Callithrix jacchus: one gene and its partner. The protein of the gene in region 1 purifies or fractionates together with the protein of each later gene. This does not show direct contact. Links are inferred from orthologs where the notes say so. Each region holds a gene or a part of one and is shown on either strand. Other genes may lie near its edges.

Region 1 (15,905 bases):
CGGTGAAACCCGGTCTCTACTAAAATACAAAAAAAAAAAATTAGCTGGGCATGGTGGCACGTGCCTGTAGTCCCGGCTACTCGGGAGGCTGAGGCAGGGAAATCACTTGAACCTGGGAGGTGGAGGTTGCGGTGAGTCGAGATTGTGCCACTGCACTCGAGTCTCGCTCTGTCGCCAGTTTTTCCCATAAACTGATGAGAGAGCTAGACTCTGTCTCACACAAAAATGAAAGAAAGAAACAAAGAAAGAGAGAGAGAGAAAGAAAGAAGAAAGAAAGAAAGAGAAGGAAGGAAGGAAGGAAGGAAGGAAGGAAGGAAGGAAGGAAGGAGGGAAAGTTTCAGCAGCTTGCCCTGTTTTTCGTGGAAAACAAAATCCTAACGTAACTTTTCTCCTGTGCCTCCAAAACATCTCCGGGCTGGCAGGTCCTCTTTTTTTTTTTAATTGAACCTCCTGAAATGCACATAAGTCAGCTAATACTTGCATGGCACCTGTTTCGTTCTGCTCTTGGTACGATATGATGATGATGATGATGATGATGAGGCAGGGTGTCCCTCTGTCACCCAGGCTGGAGTACAGGAGCACCATCACAGATCACTGCAGCCTCTACCTCCTGGGCTCAAGTGACCTCCAGCCTTAGCCTCCCAAGTAGCTGAGACCACAGGTGCACACCACCACACTTGGCTATTTTCTTCTTTTTTGTAGAGGAGGGTCTCACTCTGTTGCCCAGACTGCTCTTGAACACCTGGCCTTAAGTGATGCTCCTGCCTTGGCCTCCTAACGTGGTGGGATTACAGGTGTAAGCCACTGCGCCTGGCCAGTACATTATTATGCTAATGAAAGACCTGTCTTTTCTCTGGTTCCTGGGATGGCTCTAGGGTGGTTTCTTCAGACTGGGGATGAGGAGGATTCACGGAGATGTTCCTATAGAGGTGGAAGAAACACCACCATTTGTCAATGACCCCTGGAGACACCTGGAGAACAACGGAGGAGACCCTTGGCCAAAGAGAGCCATTCCACTGTGTTGGAGCCTGCTGATCACCAACCCATAGCTTTTTTCCCTTTCTTCCTTGCTAATCCAACTGTAGATTAATTGAAGAGGTGAGAGGTACTGAGATCCAGGCTGGAAGAGGAATGATTGGTCTACTTGGTTCTCAAGGGATAATGTTGCCCCCTAGAGGACATTTTGGAAATTATTAAGGAAAATTAGCGACTGGGTTTCTCAAGGGTACAGTGCTGCTTCCTTGGGAGCGTTTTGGAAACGTACCTTTCGTCATCGTCACAATGATGAGAGTAGAGGACAGGGACTGAGACTAGAGGACAGGGACCAGGCATGCCAAGATGTTCTGGCATATAGCATTCCTAATGAATAATCACCCAATGAATGCAGTTAACGATAGCTCTTAAAAAGTGGCAAAAAGATTGTTTATACTAAATTATACTAAGCTGAAACACTGAACTATTCCAGTCCCTTTGAAATTGTTTACATAGCAAAGTCATGGTTGACTCCTGACAATTTAGAAGATTTATGCCGCCACTCTTGGGATAATGAAAATGTTTTGGAACTAGATAGAGGTGGTGGTTGCATAATATGGTAAAAGTACTAAAAGCCACTGAATTGTGCACTTCAAAATGCTGCCTAATGTTATATTACGTGAATTTCACCTCAATAAAATTAAAAAAAAAAAAGATGTATAGGCCTGGAGTGGTGGCTTACGTCTGTAATCCCAGCACTTTGGGAGGCCAAGGTGGGCAGATGACCTGAGGTCGGGAGTTTGAGTCCAGCCTGACCAACACAGAGAAACCCCATATCTAGGGGAAAAAATAATAAAATAAAATAAATAAAAAAGGTGTATATTTCCAGATATGAGGCTATACCATTACAGTTATTTTTTTCCCATAAACTATAAAAAAGTAGAAATGAGGAGAGGAAAGGGAGACACTTTTAGACCTTTGATGAGTCTACAAGTACAGGAGAAAATAATTTTTCTTTCTTTTTTTTTTTTTTGACATGGAGTTTCACTCTTGTTACCCAGGCTGGAGTGCAATGGAGCCATCTCGGCTCACCACAACCTCCTCCTCCTGGGTTCAAGCAATTCTCCTGCCTCAGCCTCCCGAGTAGCTGGGATTACAGGCGCGCGCCACCGTGCCCAGCTAATTTTTGTATTTTTAGTAGAGATGGGGTTTCACCATGTTGACCAGGATGGTCTCGATCTCTTGACCTCATGATCCACCCGCCTCGGCCTCCCAAAGTGCTGGGATTACAGGCGTGAGCCACCGCGCCCGGCCCTGAGAAAATAATTTATGCAGCAATTAGCTCTATTTTCAGAGTTTTTTTTCATAAAGTGATCATTTTACAGGCGTTACTGCATAGGCACAGGTAAGAATCTGGGTCACTCCCTAACCAGTTAAAAATTATTATATGCCATAGACTTTCAGAATTACCATCTTTTCTTTTTTCTTTCTTTCTTTTTTTTTTTTTTGAGACAGAGTTTCACCCTTGTTACCCAGGCTGGAGTGCAATGGCTTGATCTCGGCTCACCACAACCTCTGCCTCCTGGGTTCAAGCAATTCTCTGGCCTTAGCCTCCCGAGTAGCTGGGATTACAGGCACGCGCCACCATGCCCAGCTACTTTTCGTATTTTTAGTAGAGACAGGGTTTCACCTCATTGACCAGGATGGTCTTGATCTCTTGACCTCGTGATCCACCCGCCTCGGCCTCCCAAAGTGCTGAGATTATAGGCATGAGCCACCACGCCTGGCCTGAATTTTTGTATTTTTAGTAGAGACAGGGTTTCACTATGTTAACCAGGCTGGTCTCCAACTCCTGACCTCAAGTGATCCTCCTGTCCCAGCTTCCCAAAGTGCTGGGATTATAGGAATGAGTCACCATGCCTGGCCTAATTTTTATAATTTTTGTAGCAGGGTCTGGCTTGCGTTTGACAGTCTCAAACTCCTGACCTGAAGTGATATTCTCAAAGTGTTGGGAATATAGACATGAGCCACTGTGCCTGGCCTGTTGAAAGTTTTTTCTTTTAGTGGGTTTTTTTTTTTTTTTGAGACGGGGTTTCGCTAGTTACCCAGGCTGGAGTGCAATGGCGCGATCTCGGCTCACTGCAACCTCCGCCTCCTGGGTTCAGGCAATTCTCCTGCCTCAGCCTCCCAAGTAGCTGGGACTACAGGCGCGCGCCACCATGCCCAGCTAATTTTTGTATTTTTAGTAGAGACGGAGTTTCACCTTGTTGACCAGGATGGTCTCGATCTCTCTCTTTGTTTTTTTTTTGAGACGGAGTTTTGCTCTTGTTACCCAGGCTGGAGTGCAATGGCCCAATCTCGGCTCACCGCAACCTCGGTCTCCTGGGTTCAAGCAATTCTCCTGCCTCCGCCTCCTGAGTAGCTGGGACTACAGTGTGCGCCACCATGCCCAGCTAATTTTTGTATTTTTAGTAGAGACGGGGTTTCACCTTGTTGACCAGGATGGTCTGGATCTTTTGACCTCGTGATCCACCCGCCTCAGCCTCCCAAAGTGCTGGGACTACAGGCGTGAGCCACCGCGCTTGGCGAGAAAGAGATTTAATCACAGGGCCACTGAAAACCAAGGGAGGAGATGGAAGGAAACCACGAATCCACCTCCCCAGGGAGTTTGGGGTAGGGTTTTTTTAGGGGTTTTGGGGTAGGTTGAAGTGTGAAGGTCATTGGTTGGTTGAAGAGTGAAGGGTGAAATCATGTGTGTGTGTGTGGGGGAAGCCCACAAGTGCCAAGATAAGGGTTTAAAGCCTTAGCCTGTTCCTATATAAATATTGAATTAGAAAAGAATGAGAAAAATAAGCACATAGTTATTTATATATATAAAATCATATATAGTTATACAGTTATTTATATATTATTATACAGATATATATACTTAATATAACCTTTTAATTTTACTAATAATTATTGGGTAATAAAGCATAAAAGTGAGGTGACATTGTGAACAAAGCAATCCTAAGGCAGGATGCTCTAAGCTTCTGTAACGCCCGCATAAGGGCTGCTGGAGGGCGCCTCGGCTGTGCGGCAGTGCCAGCGCTGGGAAAGCGCCAGCTGTTTTTTTTTTTGTTTTTTTTTTTTGAAGTGGAGTTTCGCTCTTGTTACCCAGGCTGGAGTGCAATGGCGCGATCTCAGCTCACCGCAACCTCTGCCTCCTGAGTTCAGGCAATTCTCCTGCCTCAGCCTCCTGAGTAGCTGGGATTACAGGCGTGCGCCACCATGCCCAGCTAATTTTTGTATTTTTAGTAGAGACGGGGTTTCACCTTGTTTGACCAGGATGGTCTCAATCTCTTGACCTCGTGATCCACCCGCCTCGGCCTCCCAAAGTGCTGGGATTATAGGCTTGAGCCACCGCGCCCGGCATGTCTTGTGTCTTTTATTTCCAGTTTCTTGTCTCCACACCTGTAAAAAGGGGCTCACAGAACCCTGTAGGGCTAAACCCTACATTCATGGAACAGGGAGATGAAGAAACTCTCTACTCCTGTTGATTTGGTTCCTCTGTGGGAGTCTTCACACTGGTTGGCATCAGTTGTTTTGCTGGAATTCAGGATCTGAAAAACATCTTTTTTTTTTCCCCTCCTGAGACAAGAGTCTCACTCTGTCGCCCAGGCTGGAGTGCAATGGCGCGATCTCAGCTTAATACAACCTCTGCCTCTCGGGTTCAAGCCATTCTCCTGCCTCAGCCTCCTGAGTAGCTGGGATAACAGGCACGCACCACGACGTCCAACTAATTTTTGTAATTTTAGTAGGGACACGGTTTCACCATGTTGGCCAGGCTGGTCTCGAACTCCTGACATTAGGTGATCTGCCCGCTTCAGCCTCCCAAAGTGCTGGGATTATAGGCATGAGTTTTTTTTTGAGACACAGTCTTACTCTGTCACCCAGGCTGGAGTGCAATGGCCCGATCTTGGCTCACTGCAACCGCCGCCTCCTGGGTTCAAGGAATTCTCCTGCCTCAGCCTCCCTAGTAGCTGGGACTACAGGTGCACACCACCACGCCCGGCTAATTTTTGTATTTTTAATAGAGACGAGGTTTCACCATGTTGGCCAGGATGGTCTCATCTCTTCACCTCGTGATCCGCCCGCATCGGCCTCCCAAAGTGCTGGGATTACAGGCGTGAGCCATTGCGCCCAGCCTCTCAATACTCATTTTACAGTAACCCTATTGCAGGTATCTCAGCGTGCGCTCCTTAAATATTTGCAGAATTTAAGAGCCTCATAAGTGACCACGTGGGTAACGCCCTAGGGTCCTTAAGCCGCGCCATTTTGGGGGCCAGGATTGGTTTGAGCCTGTGTCACGTGACTTACAGTAGCCGGACCGCCCGTGAGTCTTGTGAGGTACTTTTAGTTCCAGCCTCCACGGTCGAGGTACTGCGCAGGCGTGGGGAGATCTGCGCCTGCGCAGAAGCACTCCGGGCGTGCTGCCGGCGGCGGTTGGGCGCGCAGGGCGGGTGGGCGGTTGGTGCGAGCGGGTCCAGAGCTGAGGCTGGAAGAGCCGGCGCCATGGTGGAGAAGGAGGAGGTTGGCGGCGGAATTAGCGAGGAGGAGGCGGCGCAGTATGACCGGCAGATCCGCCTGTGGGGCCTTGAGGCCCAGAAACGGTCAGGGCCGGCGTGGCTTGAGGCGCCCGGGGTCTGGAGAGGGTGTCTAGTCTGAGGCGTTTGCGGCCCGGAGGGAGCGGGAAGGTGTGATTTGAAGGGAGGAGGCGGGAGTTATGTGCACCGGGATCGTGTCGCTCCTGAGAGGACTGGAGGAGTTGATTGGGGATGTTTCTGGAAGGTCTAGGAAGTGGGGACGTCTCAGGATGTCGGCAGGTCTGTTCCGAAGGATGGGAGGCCTCTGAAGGGGGCGTTGGGGAGTCCTGAGGGAGGATTCAAACTCAGGAAATCCGAGGCCCGAGGGCGGTGATGGTGGGGTTTGGGTCGCGGGTAGGGGACTAGAGGGGCTGGGATAACGTGGAAAGGCTGAGGTGGGGGACCCTGTTCTGTGCTGGCCTCGGGGAGGCTGGACTGGCTAACCCCGCAGAAGGAGCGTACATTCTTGTGGGTGCCCGGGGGCGGGCCAGGCTGAAAGAACGCGGCTTTTGAGGAGTTTTGGAGCAACTTATCTCCAGATGGGAATCTTGAGAGGTTGGGAGAGTCTGGAGGAGGACGGCGGCACCGAAACGGTCGCCGTGTCTGTTAGGGGACCGTGCCTTCACAGGACAGAAGACTTAGTTTGGACATTGTGGGGTAGCTTGGGATGGGTGTTTTTTTGTTTTTGTTTTTTATTTGAGAGGAGGTCTCTCTCTGTCGCCCAGACTGGAGTTCTGTGCGGTGATCTCGGCTCACTGCAAACTCCGCCTCCCGGGTTCAAGAGATTCTTCTGCCTCGGCCTCCTGAGTAGCTGGGATTATGGGGCCCACCACTACGCCCGAGTAATTTTTGTATTTTTAGTAGACACGGGGTTTCGCCATGTTGACCAGGCTGGTCTCGAACTCCTGACGTCAGGTGATCCACCCGCCTCGTCCTTCCGAAGTGCTGCGATTACAGGCGTGTGCCACTGCGCCTGGACAACTGTTCTGTGTTTGAGACAGTCTTGCCCTGTTGCCCAGGCTGGGGAGCAGTCTGGCAATCTTGTCTCGCTGCAGCCTCAGGCCTCAAAAACACCCTTTCACCTCCGTCTCCTGAGTAGCTGAGATTACAGGCTCGCGCCACCACGCCCGGTAATTTTTGTATTTTTCGTAGAGATGGGTTTTTGTCATGTTGACCAGGCTGGTCTTGTCCTGACCTCAAATGATTTGCCTGCCTCGGCCTCCCAAAGTGCTGGGATTACAGACGTGAGCCACTGCTCCTGCTTTTTTTTTTTCTCTTTGTTGCCCAGGCTGGAGTGCAGTGGCATGATCATAGCTCACTGTGGCTTCCACTTCCAGGGCTCAAGTGATCTTCTAACTTCAGCCTCACCATTAGGTGGGACTACAGGCTGGCCCCACCACATCATCCAACTAATTTTTGAGTATATATATATTTTTTGTAGGGACGGGGTTTTGCCATGTTGCAGACTGGTCTTGAACTCCCAGGATCAAGCTTTCCTTGGCCTCAAGAGAGCCCTTCCCCAACCCCACACTCGGCCTCCCAAAATGCTGGGATTACAAGCATGAGCCACCATGCACTGATCAATATTTTTACTTAGTGGGGACTCAGTGTCATGCTTGTAATCCTAGCATTGGGAAGCTGAGTCGAAGGGAGGGAAAGGGAATCTTTTGAGCCCAGGAGTTTGAAACCAGCCTGGGTAAGGTTTCAAAAAACCCAGTCTCTACAAAAATAGAAAAATTAGCCGGACATGGTGACATCAGTTTGTGGTCCTAGCTAGTTGAGAAGCTGACGTGGGAGTATCACCTGAGCCCTGGGGAGGTGGAGGTTGCAGTGAGCTGTGATAGCACCACTACACCCCTGCCTGGGCGACACAGTGAGGCCCTGTTTCAAAAAATCAAAAAATCCACAAACGTGTTTATATGTATATATATTGATCTGTCACTAAAGGATGGTGAAGTGGGAGGGCTCTTTTGATAGGTTGGCCAGGGAAGGGCTCTGAAGAGGTAACATTGAGCCTAAGACTTGAATGAAAGGAAAGAGCCCTATGGTCATCTGGGAGAACTTTACCAGCAAAGAAAACAGCAAGTGCAAATTCCCAGAGGCCCAGGCATGATTGTCAGGTAGTGTTGTTTGAAGTGGGGCAAAGTCGGTGGTGTTAAAACTGGAATGTAGTTAGGGAACTTTCAGAGGGATAGGAATGGTTTATCTGAGCAGCAGTAAAGAATGGATGGGGGCCTCTGAGTGGGGAGATGACCTAAGGGACAAGTCAAGGTCAGGACGTGAAATTTGTGGGAGGTGGGAGTTATTCTGAGGGAGTGGAGCTGTACTGAATTTGGTGGAGAACATGAAAAGCATTGGCTGAGGGTTGTGGGAGGGAGGGAAGAGGTTATCTGTCATTTGTACTTGTATTTTTAGATAATCTCAGAGAGTCTTAGAGAATTTATTAAAGTGTTTTTGTGTCCATTTTCAGCTGAGTCTTTTAGAAATTAAATTTTTTTTGTGGGTACATAGCAGGTGGATATATTTTGGGGATACAGGCATACAATGGGTAATAATCATATCAGGGTAAATGGGGTATCCATCACCTCAAGCACTTATTCTTTGTGTTACAAACAATGCAATTATATTCTTAGTTTTTGGGAGTCTGACTCTGTCACCAGGCTGTTGTGCAATCTCACTTCACTGCAATCTCTGCTTCCTGGGTTCAAGCGATCTCAGCTCACTATAACTTCCGCCACCTGGGTTCAAGCGATCCGCCAGCCTCAGCCTCCCCAGTAGCTGAGACTACAGGCATATGCCTCCACACCCAGCTAATTTTTTTGTTTTTAGTGGAGATGGGGTTTCACCATGTTTAGGATTGTCCTAACATGAGGTCCTCTTGACCTCATGATCCACCTGCCTTGGCCTCCCAAAGTGCTGGGGTTACAGGTGTGAGTCACCACATCCGGCTTCTTTTTTTTTTTTTTTTTTTTTTGCGTCCTACCCCCATCACCCGGCTTCTTTTAGTTATTTTGGAATGTACAACAAATTGTTGACTGTAGTCACCGTGTTGTACTATCAAATACCGGATCTTATTTATTGTATTTCATTATATTTTTGAATCCTCCTTCCCCTCCAACCCCTACTACCCCTCCTAGCCTCTGGTAACCATCAGTCTACTATCTGCATGAGTTCAATGTTGTAATTTTTTTAGCTTCCGCAAATAAGTGAGAACCTGCAAAGTTTGTCTTTCACTGCCTTATTTTGCTTAACATAATAACCTCTGCCAGTTCCCTCCATGTTGTTGCAAATGACAGAATCTAATTTCTTTTTTTTTTTTTTTTTTTTTTTTTGGTAGACAGGCTCTCATTCTGTTGCCCAGACTGGAATGCAGTGGTGCAGTCACAGCCAGCTCACTTCAGCCTTGAAGTCTTGGGCTCAGGTGATCCTCCCACCTCAGCCTCCCAGTAGCGGTGACTACAGCACATGCCACAAGCCCAACTCATTTTTTAGTAGAGGTGGGGTTTCGCCATGCTGCTCAGGCTTGTCTCCACCTCCTGGGCTCAAGTAATCCTCCTGCCTCCCTGCAAAGTGCTGGAAGTATAGGCGTGAACCGCCATGCCCAGCCTTTGTACCAAAATGTCTTTATGTGTTGTTAGACACATGGTTTGCTTCCAAGTCTTGGGTGTTGTGAAGAGTGCTGCAGTCAACATGGGAGTGCAGGTATCCTCTTGTTTTTTTTTTTTTCTGTAGACAGAGTCTCCTTCTGTCACCCAGGCTAGAGGGCAGTGGCACGATGTCAGCTCAGTACAACCTCCACCTCTCAGGTTCAAGCAATTCTCTTGCCTCAGCCTCCTGAGTAGCTGCAGGCACCTGCCACCATGCCTGGCTAATTTTTGTATTTTTAGTAGAGCTGGGGTTTGCTCTGTTGGCCAGGCTGGTCTCAAACTCCTAACCTCAGGTAATTGGCCCTCCTTGGCCTCTCAAAGTATTGTGATTACAGGGGTGAGCCTTCATACTCGTCCTGATTTTTTTGGGGGGGGGGGTGGGTATATACATGGCAGTGGGATTGCATTTTCACCTCAGTCTTTTTTTTTTTGAGATGGAATTTCCCTCTTGTTGCCCAGGCTGGAGTGCAATGGTGTGTTCTCAGCTAATGGCAACCTCTGCCTCCCAGGTTCAAGTGATTCTCCTACCTGAGCCTCCTGAATAGCTGAGGTTGCAGGCATGCATCACCACATCTAGCGAATTTTATATTTTTAGTAGAGACGGTTTCTCCATGTTGGTCAGGCTGGTCTTCAACCTCTGCCCTTAGGTAATCTGCTGGCCTTGGCCTACCAAAATGCTGAGATTTCAGGGGTGAGCCACTGTGCCTGGCCTTCACCTGAGTTTGATGGCAGCTCTCTGGAGTAGGAAGGGCAGTGTTCTTCTCTGTTCAGATGAGGAAGCAGGCTCCACAGAACAAATTGACTTGCCTCTAAGAGGGCTCTAGGTGGGGTAGGAGAACTCTGGAGACTGGAGTTCCTTTGTTTTTTTTTTTTTGAGTCCGAGTTTCGCTCGTTACCCAGGCTGGAGTGCAATGGCGCGATCTCGGCTCACCGCACCCTCGCCTCCTGGGTTCAAGCAATTCTCCTGCCTCCGCCTCCTGAGTAGCTGGGACTACAGGCACGTGCCACCATGCCCAGCTAATTTTTGTATTTTTAGTAGAGACGGGGTTTCACCTTGTTTGACCAGGATGGTCTCAATCTCTTGACCTCATGATCCACCCACCTCGGCCTCCCAAAGTGCTGGGATTACAGGCATGAGCCACCACACCTGGCCAGAAGTTAACTTTGTGCCTGTTGTCTGATCTGTAAAAGAAAGATAACAAAGTACCAGCCCATTGGATTGTCATGGGCATTAAATGACATAATACATACAAAGAGCTTAGAATAGTGCTTGGCACACAGTAAATGTTCAATAAATGTTGGCTATTATTATTTTATTTTGTACCTGATCTTTATAATTCTACTAATCGACACAGGTTTTGGTGTGTCTATTAATTCACAGCCATTTGAGTAACAGTATGTCCTAAATGCTAAGGACACCTATTGGTTCTAGGGATACAGTGGTTTCTGGAGTGAGGGGGCAGTCAACATATAATCAAGTAGTGTAGCTTAGTGCAGTGATGTGTGCCTGTGACCCCAGCTACTTGGGAGGCTGGGACTGGAGGATCACCTGAGCCAGGAGATTGAGACTGGCTTGGAAATGTAGTGAGGCTCCATTTCAATCAAAACAAAAACAAATAATATAATTTGAGATGGAAGAGGATGTGGACCTATTTTAAATTAAGTGGCCAGTGTGGACTTCTCTAAGGAGATGACAGTTGAGCTGAGACCTAAAGAATGTATCCTTCAAGAAGTTGAGGAAAGAAACAGTGGGAACCACTAATGTCAAGGTCCTAAGTGGGTAGCAAGCATGATCTCTAGGAACAAGGAAGGCTGGCAGGGCTGTAAGCAAGTGACCAAGGGAGAGAGTAGAATGAGACTGAGACAAGAGAGTATTTAGTGTCCCTGGTGGCTGGCCACAGTGGCTCATACCTGTAATCCCAGCACTTTGGGAGGCCAAGGCAGGTGGATCACCTGAGGTTGGAAGTTGAAGACCAGCCTAACCAACATGGAGAAACCCCGTCTCTACTAAAAATACAAAATTAGCCGGGCGTGGTGGTGCATGCCTGTAATCCCATCTACTTGGGAGGCTGAGGCAGGAGAATTGCTTGAACCTAGGAGGCGGAGGTTGCAGTGAGCCAAAATCTCGATATTGCTTTCCAGCCTGGGTAACGAGTAAAACTCTGTCTTAAAAAAAAAAGAAAAGAAAAAAGAGAGTCCCTGGTAAGGAGCTTACATAGGGAATCATTGAAAGATTTTGCCCAGGAGAGTGATATAATCTTTTTTTTCTTTTTTGAGATGGAGTCTCTCTCTGTTGCCCTAGAGTGCAGTGGTGTGATCTCGGCTCACTACAATCTCTACCTCCTGGGTTCAAGCAATTCTCTGCCTCACCCTCCTGAATAGCTAGGATTACATGCGTGCACCACAATGCCCTGCTGATTTTTGTATTTTTACTAGAGACGGGGTTTCGCCATCTTGGCCAGGCTGGTCTTGAACTCCTGACCTTGTGATCTGCCCTCCTCAGCCTCACAACATACTGGGATTATAGGTGTGAGCCACCTCGCCCAGCCCAATCTGGTTTACATTTTAATAGACCTTCCTGAGAAGGAAGTTGGTGGATTGTAGAGGCTGAGAATGGAAGCAGAAGGAGCAGGTTTAAGGCTGCTATAGGTTTTTTTTTGTTTTTGTTTTTTTGAGACAGGGTCTCAATTTCTTTCCCAGGCTGAAGTACAGTGGCTTGATCACAGCTCACTGCAGCCTCGACCTCCTGGGCTCAGGTGATCTTCCCACCAAAGTCCCTCACCCCTCCCAGAGTAGCTGGGACTACAGGTTTGCGCCACCACACCCAGCTAATTTTTAATTTTTTTTTTTGTACAGACGGAGTCTTACTGTGTTGCCCAGGCTGGTTTCGGATTTGTGGGCTCAAGTGATCCTCAGGCCTCACCCTCCCAAATTGCTGGGATTACAGGTGTGACCCACTGTATCCAGCCTGCTGTAGTTTTGTAGGAGAGAAATGATGGTCGCTCAGACTAGGGTGGTGGATGTAGAAGTCGAGGGAAGTAGATGGATGATGATGCTGTGAATGTATATTATTTTTGTGCCCACTTGGGTGTATATTTATTTATTTTGAGACAGAGTTTGATGCGGTCTCAACTCAATGGACCCTCCACTTCCCGGGTTCAAGTGATTTTCCTGCCTCAGCCTCTGGAGTAGCGGATATTACAGGTTCCTGCTACCATGCCCAGCTAATTTTTGTAATTTTAGTAGAAATGGGGTTTCACCGTGTTGGCCAGGCTGGTCTTGAGCTCCTGACCTCAGTTGATCTGTCTGCTGGGGATTTGTAGTCCCAGCACTTTGGGAGAGGCAGAGGTAGGAGGATTGCTTAAGCCCAGGAGATGGAGATCAACCTGAGTAACATAGTGAGACCCCATGTTTACAAAAAAACCCCATAAATTAGCCAGGTGCAGTGGTGTGCACCTGTAGTCCCAGGACTCAGTAGGCTGAGGTGGGAGGATCACTTGAACCTGGGAGGCTGAGGCTGCAGTGAGCCCTGCACTTCAGTCTGTGTTCATAGAACGAGACCCTGTTTCAGTAAAACAAAACAAAGCATAAACATGATATTTAGTGTTGATGCCATTTGAGTAATGAATTTTATTTTATTTTTGAAATGGAGTCTGTTGCCCAGGATGGAGTACAGTGGCACAGTCTTGGCTCACTGAAACCTCTGTCTCTCGGGTTCAAGCAGTTCTCATGCCTCAACCTGCCAAGAAGCTGGGATTATAGGTCCCTGCCACCAAACACTACCAGCTAATATATATATATATTTTTTTATTTGGAATCTTGCTCTGTCCTCCAGGCTGGCATGATCTTGCCTCACTGCGACCTCCCCTCCCAGGTTCAACTGATTGTCCTGCCACAGCCTCGTGGGTAACTGGGATTACAGGAGTCTGCCACCAATACTGGCTGATTTTTGTATTTTTTAGTAGAGATGGGGTTTTGCCGCCGGGTGCAGTGGCTCAAGCCTGTAATCCCAGCACTTTGGGAGGCTGAGGCAGGTGGATCACGAGGTAAAGAGATCGAGACCATCTCAGTCAACATGGTGAAACCCCGTCTCTACTAAAAATACAAAAAATTACCTGGGCATGGTGGCGTGTGCCTGTAATCTCAGCTACTGAGGAGGCTGAGGCAGGAGAATTGCCTGAACCCAGGAGGCGGAGGTTGCGGTGAGCCGAGATCGCACCATTGCACTCCAGCCTGGGTAACGAGCAAAACTCCGTCTCAAAAAAAAAAGAGAGAGAGAGATGGGGTTTTGCCATGTTGGCTAGGTTGGTCTTGAACTCCTGGACTCCAGTGATCTGAGCACCTTGATCTCCCAAAGTGCTGGGATTACAGATGTGAGCCACTGCACCGGGCCATAGTTTTTTTTGTATTTTTGGTAGAGATCAGGTTTCACCATGTTGGACAGGCTGGTCTTGAACTCCTGACCGCAGGCGATCCACCCGCCTGAGCCTCCCAAAGTGCTGAAATTACAGGTGTGAGTCACCAAACCTGGCTGAGTAATGAATTTTAAAAAACTTCAGAGCAGAGTCTGTAGAGCTAAGTAGGAATGTAGGTTATGGAGAGGAGATTTATTGTCCCAGACTTTTTTTTTTTTGAGACCGAGTTTCACTCTTGTTACCCAGGTTGGAGTGCAATGGCGCGATCTCGGCTCACTGCAACCTCCGCCTCCTGGGTTCAGGCAATTCTCTGCCTCAGCCTCCCAAGTAGCTGGGACTACAGGCACACGCCACCATACCCAGCTAATTTTTGTATATTTTTTTTTTTTTTGAGACAGAATTTTGCTGTTGTTACCCAGACTGGAGTGCAATGGCACAATTTTGGCCCACTGCAACCTTCGCTTCCTGGGTTCAAGCATTTCTCCTGCCTCAGCCTCCCGAGTAGCTGGGACTACAGGTGCACGCCACCATGCCCAGCTGATTTTTGTATTTTTAGTTGAGACAGGGTTTCACCTCGTTGACCAGGATGGTCTCGATCTCTTGACCTTGTGATCCAGCCACCTCAGCCTCCCACAGTGCTGGAATTATAGGCATGAGCCACCGCGCCCGGCCAATTTTTGTATTTTTAGTAGAGATGGGGTTTCACCATGTTGACCAGGATGGTCTCGATCTCTTCACCTCGTGATCCACCCGCCTCGGCCTCCCAAAGTGCTGGGATTACAAGCCTGAGCTACCTCGCCCAGCCCTTCTGATTACCCTTTTTTCAGCCTCATTTCTGTCACTTTATAAGATTTAAAAAGAAAATCAAGGCCAGTAGCGGTGTCTCATGCCTGTAATCCCAGCACTTTGGGAGGCTGAGGCGGGCGGATCACTTGAGGTCAGGAGTTCGAGACCAGCCTGATCAACATGATAAAATCCCATCACTACCAAAAATACAAAAATTAGCCAGACTTGGTGACAGGCACCTATAATCCCAGCTACTCAGGAGGCTGAGACAGGAGAAGCACTTGAACCTGGGAGGTGGGAGTTGCAGTGAGCTGAGATCCTGCCACTGCACTCCAGCCTGGGCGACAGAGCAAGGCTCTGTCTCAGGAAAAAAAAAAAAGATAAATTCTTGTGTACATCCTTTTTTTGTGCCAGCATTTATTTTGCTTGTGTGTTTATACTTAACTAGTGCCTCTTCTCAGCACCTCTTCAGCTGTCATGCTAGTATGAGCTACCGTCATCCTCCCTTACCTTAACTGTGACATGTTCCCACTTCCATGGCTTTCCATTATGCTTAAAAGAAAATCCAGAGTCCTTCCATTGCATGTAAGAGCCTTCATGATGTGTCCCCTGGTTACAGCTTTTCAGCTTCTCTGTCATTACTGTCCCTATAATGTGCCAAGCACTCCTACTTTAGGGCTTTTTTTTTGAGACAAAGTTTTGCTCTTGTTACCCAGGCTGGAATACAATGGCGCGATCTCGGCTCACCGCAACCTCCACCTCCTGGGTTCAGGCAATTCTCTAGTCTCAGCCTCCTGAGTAGCTGGGATTACAGGCCCATGCCACCATGCCCAGCTAACTTTTTGTATTTTTAGTAGAGACGGGGTTTCACCATGTTTACCAGGATGGTCTCAATCTCTTGACCTCGTGATCCACCCACCTTGGCCTCCCAAAGTGCTGGGATTATAGGCTTGAGCCACCGTGCCCGGCTAGGGCTTTTATATTTGCTGTTTTCTCTATCTGGAACGTTTTGCTTCCAAATGTTTGTCCTTTATTTCATTTTGATTTTTGTGTATATGGCACCTCTTCAGAAAGGCTTGTATGATTTATCTGTTTCAAATAGTGTCCTCCATCATCCTTGATCCTTGTCATACTTGGTTTTCATCACTTTTTCGCATATTATATATCTTTTATCTGTCTCCTCCTTCATGAGGGCAGGGACTGTGTCTGATTCACTGCCTTATTTCCACACCATATAGAAGGATGCCCAGCATAGTAGGTGCTCAGTTAATATTTGTTGAATGAATTGTTCTGTGCAGTATGGATTGCAGCTTGTCTCTTTCCTAGATTCAAGGTGTAATGCCTCACTGCAGTTAGTGCAAACCAAAATGATTCCTGTATCATTTTGTTCTTCTGTAATTCGGCAAGCTCACTGTTGGGTATCATCAGGCTAACAATGTTTGTCTTACAGGCTGCGGGCC
Region 2 (16,067 bases), on another chromosome or scaffold:
ACTCTGCAAGCCAAAGCATGTGCGTTGAATTTGGATTTTTGGTTTGCTTTGGTTTTTAACTTTTAAAAATTTTTCCCAGCCCTCTCCCAAGAGCATCCCATCATAGCACTGCACTAGGGTGGCAGAACGGACCCCAAACCTCAAGAGAAATACACATTTTCTGGCCACAGAAACTAGAAGAAAGGAGCCTTGTGATCCAAAGAGCATTGGGAAGTTCCTGTTATTTTCCCCCCTCTCTTTCCTTTGGCTGCTTAGCTGCATGGGCAACCCCCCCGAAACTGTGGGGGCAGTGTGGGTTTTAAAGTTTCCAGAAAAATCCCTTCCTTGTAATCAGAAGACTGGTAAATGGGGGCCCTGGGGGCTGTGAACGTGGTAGAAATCTCAGGAGAGTGCTGGAGGTGGGGGTCCCCTGATTCTGTAAATGAATCAACCCTGAGCTGGGCATGGTGGGGTGATCTATAGGGGGGAGATTTCATAAGTGCTGAAGCAGGAGCCAGAAGCCTCAGCCTATTTCCATATAAATAATGAGGAAGAAAGTAACTAGAAACATAACCAGAGTAGTTCTTAGTTATTCACAGGTGATCCTAGTTATTCATGGGGGGAAATCCTAGTTATTCACAGGTGATCCTAGTTGTTCACAGGTGATCCTAGTTATTCACAGGTGATCCTAATTCTTCTACTAACGCCTCTCAGGTCAGAAGTGTGACCCCAGGGTGACACTGTGAAAGGAATGACCCTAAGGCAAGATGCTCTAAGCCTCTGTCACACCTGCATAAGGGCTGCTGGAGGGCGCCTCGCTGGGCAGCGGCGCCAGCGCTGTGAAAGTGCCCACTGTTGAGCCAGCTAGGGAAGGAGACGTCCAAAACAGTTGAGACGTCTGCTTCCCCAGAGGAGTTAGGAGAGAACTCCGCCCCTCCGAGCTCTTGCGGTCGGCCTGACGCTGTCAGGGACACCCACAGGCATCCGGGGGCTTAACTGTCTCTATGCGATGCTGGGCTTCAGCGGTCACCTTCCATGTCCACTCTCATGTTCCGCTTCTGCACCTGGTTTCTTTTTTCTTGGAAGGGATAATCAGTAAAAGTAACGTAAATCTTAACGTCTATGTTCTTTCTTGACCACTGTGGAAAAAGTGCTGACACATTATGCTCCTTACCTCATCTCAGCCACCTGAAATTCTTGGGCCCTACCTGCATGACACGTGATGTACTTCACCCTATCACTGCCACGCCCTATCTACCCCAACCCCAGTAGCTGACCACCAAGACCATGCCCTAGTACCCTCCCCCCAGATTTGCAATTCAATAAAAATGAGAGCAACAGACATCTAGGCTCACTGAACCTCCACCTCCTGGATTCAAGCGATTCTCCTGCCTCAGCCTCCTGAGTAGCTGGGACTACAGGTGCCTGCCACCACACCTAGCTAATTTTTGTAATTTTAGTAGAGACAAGGTTTTACCATGTTGACCAGGCTGGTAAAGTTTTTTCTTTATAAACCACTTTTTCATTTAAATTAAACATGCATACTTAAAAATGCATACATAACTTGAGCATTTTTATGTGTTTAAACTCCCATTATTCTATCAACAGATATTAATATCTTTGTTTTCACCTTGAACCAGATAAGAACTGCAGTATGCTTGTACTTCCCTTCTTCCTCTCTCCCTCTCCTGTATCTGCCCCTTCCATCTGCTTATAATCCTCTGTGATTTTAATCCCAGACACTGTATTTTTTCTACAGTATGCAGCACAAAGTATTTAGTATTAACAATGACTTTTGCTGGTTTCCTTGCTCACTTTTTTTCCCAGCCAGGAAACAACACAGAACTCTGAGTCATCCATCATGCTGTAGCGGTGTCCTAGAGCCGCGCAGTGCACAGCCCACTCAACAGCTCACACTGGTCCTGCTTGAATGTCTGTCATGAGTTCCATTTGCACTTTGCTGCAGAGAATCCATGATGATTCTTTCAATGAGGATCCATGGATGGAAACCCCGGTAGGTATTTGCGTTTCTGAAAATGTCTTAAAACTCTGTCCTCCCCTTTCCCAGTTTTCAGATACCGCGAGAACTCTAGAACACTTTAATTCTGCCTGCTTTCGTGATCACTTATTCTAAGTCCACATCTATTTAGAACTCCAGAAGGCATTACTATTGTTGTTCTATGCAGTTAGTGTCTCTCTAGATTTACTCGGATTTACAGCCTTTTTATTGTCCTTTTTTTTTTTTGAGATGGAGTTTCGCTCTTGTTACCCAGGCTGGAGTGCAATGGCGCGATCTCGGCTCACCGCGACCTCCGCCTCCTGGGTTCAGGCAATTCTCCTGCCTCAGCCTCCTGAGTAGCTGGGATTACAGGTGCACACCACCGGGCCCAGCTAATTTTTGTATTTTTAGTAGAGATGGGGTTTCACCATGTTGACCAGGATGGTCTCCATCTCTTGACCTTGTGATCCACCCACCTCGGGCTCCCAAAGTGCTGGGATTACAGGCGTGAGCCACCGCGCCCGGCCCTACTGTTCTTTATTCTTTCCTGTACTTCATACTTCCATCTGGGGCCACTTTCCCTCTGCTGAAGAAATCCTTTTAGTATTAACTTTAGTGTGTGCTTTCTCGCAGTTAATTCTCTAAGCCAAAAAGTGTCTGAGACAGGGCTCAATCAATTTAGAAGTTTATTTCGCCAAGGATAAGGACAATTCCTGGGAGAAAAAAACATGGAATCACAGAAATAGTCTGTGGTCCGTGCCTTTCTCCCAAGTTGACTTTGCGGGTGTTAGTATTTAAAGAGGAAGGGTGTGATCACATGACTGAATGTACACGGTGCAAGAGAAAAGGAGCCACTGGGGAAGAGTCAATTGTGCATTCATCTCATGACCAGCAAACTGAATTGGCATTTTCCATAAGATAAGGTGAATTTAGAGCAGCTACCGGTAGAGATGTTTACCTTTTATCTGTAACTATCTGCTTAGGAACCAAAGGAAATGCAGCTTCTTGCAGGACTCAGCTTTCAGCTTAATTTTTTCCTTTTGACAGAGTGAATTTGGGTGCCAAGATTTTATTTTCCTTTCACATTTCTCTGATTTGCTTTTTCTGAAATATGTTTATTTCACTTCTACCTTTACATGATCTTGTCATTGGGTATAAAATTCTATGTAGACAGCTATTTTCTTTCACCCCTTTGAAGATGTTAATTCCATTGTTACATGGCTTCCATGTTCATGTTGCAAAGTCAGCTGTAAGTCCTTTAGTTTCTCCTCTGTCTGTCTTCTTATAGGGTTCAGCCCTATAGGGATCTCCCTCTCTGCTGGTGCGGAGATGAGAAACTGTAGAAATAAAAGACACAGACACAGAGATAAAGAGGGTTTGGGCTGGGGGGTCCACTGCAAACCAAAGTGTGGACACCTGCAGTGGCACCGAGTGCCTGGACACTCTGACTTTTATTGAGTACAAAGCAGGGGTCAGGGAAGGCAGGGTGAGGTGATGGTGGTCAGTGCAGGGTCAGGTAACTTGTGTCTTGGAGACAGGGGGCCCAGGACTTTCAAGCAGCCGAGGCGAGGAGAAAAGCTAATGCGTCAGCGCTCTTCACATATTTGTCGGAAATGTCAAGGACATTAATTTTTATCTTCTGAGAAGAAGAGAAACTAGGTGCAGAAGCAGAGCGTGAGAGTGGACACGGAACATGATCACTGAAGCACAGCATCACAGAGAGGCAGTTAAGCCCCCGGATGTCTGTGGGCCTCCCTGACAGAGCTTGGAGAAGCGGAGTTTTCTCCTAACTTCCCCAGGAAGGAGATGTCTCAGCCATTTTGGATATCTCCTTCCCTTACTGGCTAAACACTGGGCACTTTCCCAGCACTGGCACTGCTGCACACCCGAGGTGCCCTCCAGCAGCCCTATGCGGGTGTGACAGGGCTTAGAGCATCTGGCCTTAGGATCACTTTGTTCACAATGTCACCTCAGTTCCATGTTTCATAACCCCATAGTTATTAGTAAAATTAAAGGTTATATTGAGTACATATCTTTCTGGTTATAAGTGAGCAGTTATAATATTATATATGATTATATAAAGGAATAACTGTGTGCCTACATTTCTAATTCTTTTCTAAATCAATATTTACATGGGAACAGGCTGAAGCTTCAGACCCTCCCCACGGCACTTGTGGGGTCTCCCCCCTACAGCTTCTATTCTCTTTGTCTTTGGTTTTCAGGTTTAGTATGTAATCAAGCATTTTTTTTTTTAAATCTATTCTGATTGTGGTTGATAGTATGTTTGTAATCTATGTTTTGTTACGTTTGATCAATTTTGACAAATTCTCTTATTATTTCTTCAGATATCACTGCTGGCCTATTCTCTCTCTGTGTTACTCCATTTTATAAATGCATTACACCTGTAATCCCAGCATTTTGGGAGGCTGAAGTGGGCAGATCACCAGGTCAGGAGTTCAATACCAGCCAGACCATCATGGTGAAACCCTGTCTCTACTAAAAAAACAAAAATTAGCTGGGCATGGTGGCATGTGCCTGTAATCCCAGGTACTCAGGAGGCTTAGGCAGAAGAATAGCTTGAACCCAGGAGGCAGAGGTTGCAGTGAGCTGAGATCGCATCACTGCATTCCAGCCCGGGCAACAGAGTGAGACTCCATGTAAAAAAAAACATTATACCTTTTCACCATATTGCATATCTCTTAGGCCTTTTGCTATATTGCCCATATTTTTTCTCTGTTTCTGTCAGAATATTCTTTTTTTTTTGAGACAGAATCTTGCTCTGTCACCCAAGGTGGAGTGCAATGGCGTGATCTTGGCTCACTGCAACCCCCGTCTCCCAGGTTCAAGCAATGAAAGGCAACTGCAACCATACCTAGCTATTTTTTTTTTTTTAAAGGGCTGAAGAGGCCAGGTGCGGTGGCTCAAGCCTGTAATCCCAGCACTTTGGGAGGCCGAGGCAGGTGGATCACGAGGTCAAGAGATCGAGACCATCCTGGTCAACATGGTGAAACCCCGTCTCTACTAAAAATGCAAAAATTAGCTGGGCATGGTGGTGCGTGCCTGTAATCCCAGCACTTTGGGAGGCTGAGGCAGGTGGATCACGAGGTCAAGAGATCGAGACCATCCTGGTCAACATGGTGAAACCCCGTCTCTACTAAAAATAAAAAAATTAGCTGGGCATGGTGGCACGTGCCTGTAATCCCAGCTACTCGAGAGGCAGAGGCAGGAGAATTGCTTGAACCCAGAAGGCGGAGGTTGCAGTGAGCTGAGATCATGCCATTGCACTCCAGCCTGGGTAACAAGAGCAAAACTCTGTCTCAAAAAAAAAAAAAAAAAAAAAAAAAGGGAGCTTTAGAACTGGCTAATTTCTTGTATTTTTAGTAGAGATGGGGTTTAGCCATATTGGCCAGGCTGGTCTCAAACTCCCGACCTCAGGTGATCCACCCACCTTGGTCTCCCAAAGTGCTAGGATTACACTGCGGCCACTCTGAATATTTTCTTCTGACCTATCTTTCAGTTCATTAATTATCTCTTTCACTGTGTCTAATCTGTTTCAAACACATCCACTGAATTTATAACTTCAGCTAGTATATTTTTTGTTTGAAAATTTCCATTAGATTCTTATATACCCCACTTCTCTGCTGAACATTTTCGTCTCATAATCTACTTTCTTGAACATATTAATCACATTCCTTTAAAGTCTATGTATGATAATGTCAATATCCTGTTGACATAATAATTCCATGGGATTATTTCTTATATGTATTTTGGCTTTGGATCATTTGTCTTCTGGTTTTCTTTGTGAACTTTATCCGGATATTGTGTATGGAAATATTTTCATTAGTTTGAGGCCCTGGATGATGCTATTTTCCTCAGTATATTTCCCTTTGCTTCAGGCTGGCCTTGGGAAAGAGGGCAGATCAGTTGAGTCTGGGATTGAGCCCTTTGGAAGCTTGATTTCAGACTTTGAGAGGGATGATCCAGTCACCCCTCAGCCTTCCTCCCCTACTGCAGCACTCAGTGCTCTCGGCTGAAGGTCTGGGTCACTCAGCAGAGCCTATCTTGGGGGCCGTCACCAATTATTGCGTCCCCAACCCTGTAAGACTCAAAAGCTCACTCAGAGTGTCAACTTCTTCCCAGTGCATATGTGAGACTGAATTGTGTCCTCCAGCATTCACATAGTGAAGCCCATTTCATCTGGAGATAGGACCTTTAAGGAGGTGGTAAGGATGGGGCCCTAATCCCATAGTACCAGTGTCCTTGCAAGAGGAGGAAGAGACACCAGAGATCTCTCCATCTGCACACACAGGGGAAAGGCCATGTGAGAACATGCCAAGGTGGCCACATACGAGCTGGGAGGAGAGGCTTCACTGGACACCAACCCTGATGGCTCACTGATTTTGGGCTTCCAGTCTCCAGAACTGCCTGGAGGCTGGGAAATAACTATCCATGGTTTGTATTTTTTTATGAAAGTCTGGGCTGAATAATACAGGATACTTATCACCAAATGCCTCAAAGAAAAAAAAAAAAACAAAAAACAACTTGCCTTTTTCCTGAGGTGGTGGGAGGTCTTTGCCCCTCAGAGAAAAATTTGTTTTTGTAACTATCCGATATACTTAAACAGATTTAAAAATATTTTATACCGATTTTTGAGCTATTTTTCTTGGGTTTGTCTGAGGCAACCAGTCCTTCCTAACTGTAAGGAAAAACTTCTCTGAATGCTTCAGGCATTTCTCCTCACACCACCCATCTCAGTGTCTGTCTTCTCTCAGCCATTCAATACTCAGGGGTCCTTTCCATTTATAGAGTCAAATATTTCTTTAGTTCAGAGAATTTTATTTTCTTTTGTTTAAAACAAGGTCTCGTCCTTCTGCCCAGGCTGGAGTGCAGTGGTGTGATCTCGACTCACTGCAGCCTCTCCTGAGTTCAAGCGATTCTCCAGCCTCAGCCTCCCAAATAGCCAGGATTAAAGGCATGCATCACCACACCTGGCTAATTTTTGTATTTTTAGTAGAGACGGGTCGTCACCATGTTGCTCAGGCTGGTCTCGAACTCCTGACGTCAGGAAATACACCTGCCTCAGTCTGTCAAAGTGCTGGCATTACAGGCAGGAACCACTGCACTGGGCCTCAGAGATACTTTCTTCAATCCTTTGATTTTTGTCCTGCCTTCCTTTTTTCCACCTTCTCCTTCTGTAGCTCCTGTCAGGTGGACACAGCCCTTCCTGTACTGAGGCCCAGTGTCCTGGCTTCCCACCTTCCCTCTCTTTAGTTCTCTGTCATGGGAGAGTCCTGTGACTTTGGCAGTTGTGTCCTCAGCCAGGACCCCTCTCCTAGTCAGCACACGGGTTGAGCTTTCACGTCAGCAATCCTCTTACTCATTTCCCAGCTCCTGCCTTCTTGTAAGTCTTCTTGGGACCATCACCAGGTGTTGGCGACACTGAGGACGGGCTCTGGCAGTCTCGGATCTGGACCCTGTGCTCATGGTAGGCCCTGGTTTTTCCTGAGCTCTGGTTTCTCTGGTCCATTCGATCCCCTTTGGCTGTGTCCTTCAGAAACCTGTTGGTGTTTGGTCTACCAGCAGTGCCCTTTGTGTCCCCGCAGCTCAGTGGAGCCTTTTTGCATCTTTGTGGTCACAGGAAGGATTTGGGGCAGGTCAGAGTGTGGGAGCAGCGTTCTTTCTTCGCAGACACAGCATGACTTGATTCGGACCACCATCATCTTTTAGCCTGCTCTTGAAAACTGAATGTCATCTGAGCATCCTTGATATTCGTGACACGGCTTTTTGTCAGAGGAATGCACCTGGCTTAACCGCGAGTGGTAACACACCTGGGCTCCACGTGTCATCAGTTCTAAGCTGCGTGTTTCTCACGTCCACAACATGAAGCGGGCTGCCTTATCCACAGCCCGTGGGAATCTAATGTCCGTGCTACCGTGTGGTCTTATGTTTTAGGATCAACAGTGTCTCGGAGTCGGCCTGCCCTGCGACTCTCCCCACCAGCAATCTAGGGGCTCTGAGCCCCGCTTCCCCTCGCAAGGGGCTGGTTGCAGGGGTCCCCCTCCCAAGACAGCCTAAGCCGGCCGCCCACCTCCGCATCCTCTGCGAGGCCTTGGGTTCCAGGTTCCAGAAAGATGGGACCACACCCTGGGACCTGGGCTGACCGTCCGACCCTCTCACCGAGAGACCTCCCCGGCCTTCCCGCTCCTCAGTGGGGGCTCTAGCCAAGAAAGCCAATTCTTAAGAGTGGAAGTTACGGTCCGCTAAGATTTGTCCCCTGGCTTTGCGACCGCGCTCGGTTGGCTGGGCCGTCCCCGGCTCAGAGGCTTAGGTTCAAATCCAGGTCCTGCCCTTTCCCGGCTGAGCCTGCGGGGTCCGGCTCCCCCGCCTCCGCCATGCCCGGATGGCACCGCCCTGGCACTGCCGAGGGACGCAGGGGTGCCCGCCCTCACGCGCATTCCATCCGAGAACCTGGGATCACAGACTCGGAGGCGGGGAGGGCCGGGCACCCCAGGAATGGCGCCGCAAGTCCGGGGAGGCCCTGCCGGCCCCGCGCTCCAGCGCGTTTCCCGCATCCGCGAGCCCCCGTTCCGCCGGCACCGGCGGCGTCCAGCCTGGGTTTGCCCGCGCTCGGCGCTGCTCACCAGCGCTGACCTGGGGATGGTTGGGCCGCCCAGTGCCTCAGTTTCCTCGTAGGTAAAACGGGTCTTCCTGAGGACGGGTTTGAGGGCCCGGCACAGCCCGGTGGGAGCGGCGGCCGAGGGAGCCCGGCCCGGGCTGACAACGGACAGGAAGCTGCCGCTGCAAGGAGCCGCGTGGCGCCCCCAACCGTCCCGGGTGCGGGCCTGATTCGCGCGGCCTCGGCGGCCGGGACCCCGCGGGCGCCTTGTCCGCTCCGTCCGCGGCTCCCGAGAGGGAACGTCGCCCCCAGGGGCCTCCCTCCTCCGCCTCACGGGCTGCGGCCCGGCCTCACTTCCCGCACCCCAGGAACGCTGTCCCCAGAAAAGGAGTCGGGGCCAGGGCGCGGGAGGGGAGGCAGGCAGGGGTCCCCAGGGCCCGGGCTCCCCGCACGCGCCTCTGGCCCGCGCACCCCAGTGCCCTAGGCCGTCTGAGCCCGCCGGGGTCGCGCCGGACCCGCCCCGTGACGCATCTCCAAGCGCCGGGAGCCGCGGCCAGGCCAGCGCGCGCCCGACGCCCCAGGGAGCGCGCCTCGTGCACGCGCGCAGACACGTGACCCCCCGCCGGCCAACGAGCGCGCCGGGATTTGGGGGATAAAGCGCGGCCCCGCGCGCAGTTGCGGCGGGAGAGCGGCGGGGCCGTGAGCGTGACTCGCCCGCTCCGCGCTGCTTCCCCCGCGCCGCCTGCCCGCGCCGCCCGAGCAGCCATGTCCGAGGAGAAGCCCAAGGTAAGCGCGGCGCCCCCGTCTGCACGCGCGGCCATCGCGGGCGTCTTGGGCGCGTCCGCCGACGCGCGCCGCTCCCCGTCGGCCCGAGGAAACCGCGGCGACCTCGGGGACCCGCGCCCAGGCCGGCGGCGCCGCCTGCGCTCCCGTCCCTTCTCTTCCCTCCCCTCCCCCGCTCCGCCCGGCTCGCCGCTCCCCTCCCCCGCCCGGCGGCGCTCGGCGGCGCGCCCCGCCTCCAGCCCGGCTCCGCCCCCAACAAGACTCCGCCCCTTCTCTCCTCCCATAGCCAGGCTCCGCCCCGCTCCCCACCCCTTGTAGTGTCCCGCCCCGAAGTGGAACCGCCTAAGGCGCGCCCCGCCCCGAAGCGCTCTGTGCCTCCAGTTCCGCCCCCGCCGGGCCTGGCCACGCCCTTGCTCCACGCCCCGCCCCTCCCCGGCCGGGAAGCGGCAGGTCTTGCGCCGGGTGTGGGCCCCGCGCTGCTTCTGCCCAGCGCGGCGCCCTCCGATCTCGCCCCGGCGGTGCCCCTGAGGCGTCTTTGCGTGGCCTTCTCTTGAGTCATTGCCCGGTGGCGTCGCCCTCTCCCGCCGCATCGCCCTGGGAGGGTCGCATGTTGAGCGCACGGGTTGGCTCTGGGATTAGCGTCCGGGGTTACCCCGGAGGGGCGTGCTCTGAGGGGCTTGGCCCCTGTGAACAGCTCTGCCATCCTTTCAGGGTGCCCATCGCGCGCCTGGTATTCACCCATTTCTCCACATCGTGTCCCCGTGTGTGCTCACCCCTCTCCTTCGCGATCCCCAATCGTGCCCCCAGTGTACCCATCCTCCCCTTCGCGACCCCCCTTCCCCGTGTGCGCCCACCCCTCCACATCGCATCCCCGGTGTGTGCCCACCTCTCTTCGAGACTCCCCAATCGTGTCCCCAGTATGCACCCATCCCTCCCCGTGTGTACCCACCCACTCCACCATGTGCGCCCGTGTGCGCCCACCCCTTTCACCTCGTTCCCTAGTGTGCACCCACCCCTCCCCATCGTATCCCCCTTCGTGTGCGCCCACCCCCTCCCCATCGCACCTCCCGTTGTGTACCCACCCTTCCCCATCGGGTTCCCCAGTGTGCGTCCACCCTTCCCAACCCCACCCCCACCCCTGTCTGCGCCCATCCCCTATGCATGCCCACCCCTCCTTAGCCAGCCTTGGGTGTGTTTTAGTTTCCTCGATTGCCACACTGGAGTATGCAATCCTGTCTCAGTCCTGGGGTGTGCACCCTTCACTAAGGTGCACTGGCCTGTCTTTGGGAGGGTCTGTAGTCATGTTGACCAGGATTAAAAAAACAGAAACTACTTGACTAGCCTAAAAAAAAAAGAGAAACTTAGGCCGGGCGCGGTGGCCTATAATCCCAGCACTTTGGGAGGCGGAGGCGGGTGGATCACGAAGTCAAGAGATTGAGACCATCCTGGTCAACGAGGTGAAACCCCATCTTTACTAAAAATACAAAACTTGGCTGGGCATGGTGGTGCGCACCCGTAGTCCCAGCTACTTGGGAGGCTGAGGCAGGAGAATTGCTTGAACCCAGAAGGCGGAGGTTGCAGTGAGCCGAGATCCTGCCATTGCACTCCAGTGTGGGTAACAACAGCGAAACTCCGTCTCAAAAAAAGAAAGAGAAACTTCTGAAGCCCTTGGTGTGCACTGTCGACCAAGTGGAAGATGGTGTCATATCCCAGTGGAAGATGACTAGAGCTGAAGACTCTGTAAGGAGGCTGTCTCTGATACTGGCCTGGTCCTGGAGGTGACCACCCTCCGTTTACAAGTGAGCGTGGAGGTTCAGTGCTAGACACTAGTGGGAACTGGGATTGAAGCTCCTGGAACCACGGGCGGGGTCTCTCTGGAAGGCTGCACTCCACTTGCTGTGTAGTGAAACTCCAGGGAAACCTCTATCCAGTGTTTGGAGTGACCTTTGCTTTTTACAGTTTGACTTCAGTGAACTCAAACTTCTTCCACCCCTGGGGTTGTTGGAATATTTAAATACTTGTTAAAACTAGGCCAGATATACAGGTGGATCACCTGAGGTCAGCAGTTTGAGACCAGCCTGGCCAACATGATGAAACCCTGTCTCTACTAAAAATACAAAAAGTTAACCAGGCGTATTGGCACACTCCTGTAGTCCCAGCTACTTGGGAGGCTGAGGCAGGAGGATCTCTTGAACCAGGGCGGGAGAGGTTGCAGTGAGCCAAGATCGCACCACTGCACTCCAGCCTGGGTGACAGTGAAACTCAGACTCCAAAAAACAAAAAGCAAAAAAACTAGGCCAAGGATAAGTGTCTGTTGTGTTTTTGTAGGTAGCTTCCTCTTAGCGAAGAGTAAATGAAGAACCTATGAGACCCATTTTCTCAGCAGTGTTTAAACCTAGCTCTGCCACGTGCTCAACTTCAGGGTCCAATTCCGTTGAAAATACTTGTTCAGTTCCGGAATGACTGATGGCTGCCACCTCACCGGACCCACTTGTGGTGGGTCCCCTTCGTGTGTGTGGGAGCAGCTCTGCCCTGGGCCTCTGAGGAAGGGGAAGAAGTGGACCCTGGGACCCAGTGGTGCTGGGAAGAAGAGCTTTTGGGTCAGGTGGAGAATAGTTCTGACTTCCCCGAATAGCTGAGGCAGAGGATTGCCTGTAGTGAACTGGGGTCCATGTTTTTAGGGCTTCTTTTTTTTTGAGACGGAGTCTGGCTCTGTTGCCAGGCTGGAGTACAGTGGCGCAATCTCAGCTCACTGCAACCTCCACCTCCCGGGTTCAAGTGATATCCTGCCTCAGCCTCCCGAGTAGCTGGGACTACAGGCAGCTGCCAGCATGCCCGGCTAATTTTCGTATTTTTAGTAGAGACGGGTTTTCACCATGTTGGCCAGGATGGTCTCTATCTCTTGACCTTGTGATCTGCCCGCCTCGGCCTCCCAAAGTGCTGGGATTACAGGCGTGAGCCACTGCGCCCGGCCCAGGGCTTCATTTTTTAACTCACGAGTTCATTTGTTTATTAGGAATTCACCAGGGATCTGGAACAGACTGTTCATTCCTGGCATCTGGCTGTTAATGGGGCAGAGGTGCTGTGGCTGGCCCTGCCCTGCCCCAGCCTCTCCCGGGGCCGCAGCCATTGCCCGGTGTGGGCAGGTCTGGGTCCTGCATCTGTGCCTTTGAACACACCCATATCTTCCTTCCCTAAAGAAACCAGTGAGTCCTCATGCTTGGGGAAGTGAAGGGGGTTCATGCAGGGGTCCCCACTAACATCCTGCCCGGAGTGGTCTGCATGCCCTCACTTCCTGGGCCAGTTTTTTCTGTGCTGGAGGCCACATTGGGGGTGAGGGGGTGGGGGGATGGGGGTGTGCCAGCTCACCACTCAAGCTGCTGCGAAGCCAGTGTCCTCCCTGGAGTGGGCAGGGATGCCTGGTCCAAGACTGGAGTTGGGGGGTGAGTGCCACCTCAGAATATACATCTTCAGGCTTGTGGCTGGAGCCCCTCACTGCCAGGGCCCCTCACAGGCCACTCTTGCTCCCTTGACAGAGAGCACCATACCTCCCCAAGGGTCTCCAGGAATGTACAGTGCTCCCTCTGGGAGCACCTCCGCGTAGGGTGAGAAGGTACCAGGGTGCTCCAGACTTGACGTTCAGATGCCCCGTCGCTTCACTCAGACGGCTTCACCCAGCAGTGCAGGCAGCCTGAGGGGTGTCCCACTTTGCTGCTCAGACTGAGCTGCCCCGAAGTTGGCTCCCAATCTGTTGACATCGGCTTCTTGCCTCAACTGAAAATGCATTTCCAGGCAACAAGACACGCTGATTGTGCCTTGCTGAGCAGCTTCAAGCATGGCATGAATTAAAAAATAAAATGCTACCCGCTGCTCTCAGATGGGACAGTTTGAAACCAGAAAGTACTCGGAGATGGCTCCCTTCACATTTGCCAATGACAGGGCAGTGAGAAGGAGCCTGGCTGCCCGCCGTGGGAAGCGGCTCTCCTCAATTGCATTCCTGAGGTCACCACTTTAATGACCCACAGGGTCCCTCTGAGTCGCAAATGTTTTGTTCTGTTTTGGTTTCTTTTACTAGTGCTGAATAGCTGTAGTGACTTGTGGATATGTCTTTTTACTGCTTTCATAAGAATAATTTTTTAAAAAAGAGATGGGGTCTTGCTGTGTTGCCCAGGCTGGTCTCAAACTCCTGGGCCCAAGCCATCCTCCCACGTCAGCCTCCCAGAGTGCTGGGTTGATGGGTGTGAGCCACTGTGCCCAGCCCACAAGAATCACTTTAAAATAAAGATGGATCTTCTCTGATTTTTCCCTAGCTTTATTAAACGGGTTTTCTTTGAATTAACCATGTTAGAGGACTGTAGATTCGCATTGTTTTACCCACAGATGCTTAACAAGTGGAAGTTAAAAATCAATTCCGTGTAAAAATGAGACAATCACATGAGTGATTCCGACTCCTGGACAGTTTTAAGAACTAGGTTGTCTTTAAGGACTTCAAAGAGCTGATGGTCACCTAAGGACCTGCCCTGCAAAGTCGCGGTTATTTTGAGACACAGTTTTGAGGCCAGTCTCTGGTGTCCCCTGCAGGAGGGCGTGAAGACAGAGAACGACCACATCAACCTGAAGGTGGCCGGGCAGGACGGCTCCGTGGTGCAGTTCAAGATCAAGAGGCACACACCGCTGAGCAAGCTGATGAAGGCCTACTGCGAGAGGCAGGTGCGCGCCTCGGCCCCCCGCACGGCTTCCCGCGTGTGTGCAGGTCCCGTGGGTTCCAGGCATCCCGGGAACATGAGTGTCGGGGCTGGACCCAGCTGCAGCTGCTCGAGGCGCCCTCCTCACGGACAGGCGGGTGGGCGGGTGCTTGTGTTGTAAACTTGGCCCAGGCTGGGCTTGCTGACTGTGCCCCCACGGCCTTTTATGTGGCGGGGGGCCCTGGAGGCTCAGATGAGTGCAGTGGGGTTTTCTTCCTGACAAGGCGGCTTCCTGGGGGCTGTGTTCTTCATGGGGCACTGACATCTGTGAAGTCTGTGATGCTGAAGGCTGTTGGGAGCCCTGCCCGGGGCTGGCCTTTCTGCAGCTGCAGGTGGCGTGTGCCCCATGGCACTGTCACCTTGTCCTTGCATATGAGCTGGAGTAGCCCGGGAGAAACAGTGCCCTCATCTGCAGTGTGGTTTTCCCTTTTGTTAGGAAAGGAAAGAAAGTGTGTGATTCTTTCTCCTCCTTCTCCAGTTTCAGGATAATGAGCTGCCTCACTGGCAGTGCCCTGCTGGGCGGACGCCTTCTGGTTGCTGTGTGATTGTGGACTTGGTATGTGTGTGCGTGTCAGTCATTCTTGGTAGTGCTCGGAGGACTCGCCCTGGGCCAGGGGGTCCCTCTCCAGGCCACTCCTATGGGCTTTGCCTGCTGGCTGCTGCCTGGAGTGTTGGGGGTCTGGCCCTGCAGCCAGGTGCCTTTCCCCAGGGAGCCCTGCTTCCCTGAGTGGGACCTGGAGGCTGCTTTTCTTTAGCTGTTTTGAAAATGCAGCAACTCGTCGCCCTTTTATTTTACTCTCTTGCCTATGGATTTTCAGTTAGATTTTCTCCTCTTTACCTCGCGCTTCTGATACCCTGCTTGTGAGAGGCAGTCACTGGCCACCACCTTGCACGCTGTTGGCAAGCAGCCCCTCTGACTTCTGTTTGCTGAAGGCAGATCTTATTTTCACCTGCAAAAGGTGAAACTGAGCTTCTGGACATGCAGGCCCCGATCTTCCCAGCAGAGTGAGCGACCCAGCCTCTGCCTGGTGCTGGACCCTGGCCCTTGTTGGAGTGTGTGCTGCCTGGGCTGGTGGTCACTGTGTATATGACTTCCCAGGTGCCCGCATAGTCTGCTGTGCTGCAGGATGGCAGGCGTGTGGGGCTGTGTACATGTCTCTGGCTCTGCTCTTCCCACTGCTCTCCAGGGCTCCCTGCCTGCCCCACCTGCACTGCTGCCTGTGAGGCTGGCTGCACAGTCGTGGTCCCAGGGCCTCCTGTTCACATCCTTCTAGAAACTTGGTTCTCCCCTGGGTGTTTCCTGGATCTGTCCTCCTCCCTTTGGTGGTGGAGCACATCCTCCAGGGTTGTGTCAGAGAGGGCACAGAAGGGCAGCGTCTTTGAGACACTGCATGGCCGAAAGCAACTTTTGCTTTTTTTTTTTTTTTTTTTTGAGACAGAGTTTCACTCTTGTTGCCCAGGCTGGAGTGCAATGGCGCGATCTCGGCTCACTGCAACCTCCGCCTCCTGGGTTCAGACAATTCTCCTGCCTCAGCCTCCTGAGTAGCTGGGATTACAGGCACGCGCTACCATGCCCAGCTAATTTTTTGTCTTTTTAGTAGAGACGGGGTTTCACCATGTTGACCAGGATGGTCTCGATCTCTTGACCTCGTGATCCACCCGCTTGGGCCTCCCAAAGTGCTGGGATTACAGGCGTGAGCCACCGCACCCGGCAAAGTTCCTTTTTCTTTCTGTTCTTTGAGTGTTCTTTTTTTCTCAGTAGCAATTTATTTATTTTCTTGAGACAGGGTCTCTCTATTCTCCCAGCTGGAGCACAGCGGTGAGATCATGGCTCACTGCAGCCTTGACCCCTGGGGCTCAAGTGATCCTCCTGCCTCAGCCTCCTGAGTAGCTGGAACTACAGATACATACCACCATGCCAGACTAATTTTTTTATTTTGTAGAG

What was found.
Region 2: the proteins of SAE1 (region 1) and SUMO3 purify together in Homo sapiens (affinity purification with mass spectrometry; 3 studies listed by BioGRID and IntAct, with this or other methods). This does not show direct contact. The link is inferred for Callithrix jacchus from reciprocal best matches to the Homo sapiens genes SAE1 and SUMO3.

The regions. Positions count from the first base shown.
Region 1 is NC_133523.1:41,080,610-41,096,514, forward strand, and holds the start of SAE1 (SUMO-activating enzyme subunit 1), read left to right. Parts: upstream 1-5,472; 5' UTR 5,473-5,526; coding exon 5,527-5,624; intron 5,625-15,895; coding exon 15,896-15,905. UniProt on the Homo sapiens protein: The heterodimer acts as an E1 ligase for SUMO1, SUMO2, SUMO3, and probably SUMO4. It mediates ATP-dependent activation of SUMO proteins followed by formation of a thioester bond between a SUMO protein and a conserved active site cysteine residue on UBA2/SAE2.
Region 2 is NC_133522.1:50,468,764-50,484,830, reverse strand, and holds the start of SUMO3 (small ubiquitin-related modifier 3), read left to right. Parts: upstream 1-9,265; 5' UTR 9,266-9,359; coding exon 9,360-9,380; intron 9,381-13,958; coding exon 13,959-14,087; intron 14,088-16,067. UniProt on the Homo sapiens protein: Ubiquitin-like protein which can be covalently attached to target lysines either as a monomer or as a lysine-linked polymer. Does not seem to be involved in protein degradation and may function as an antagonist of ubiquitin in the degradation process.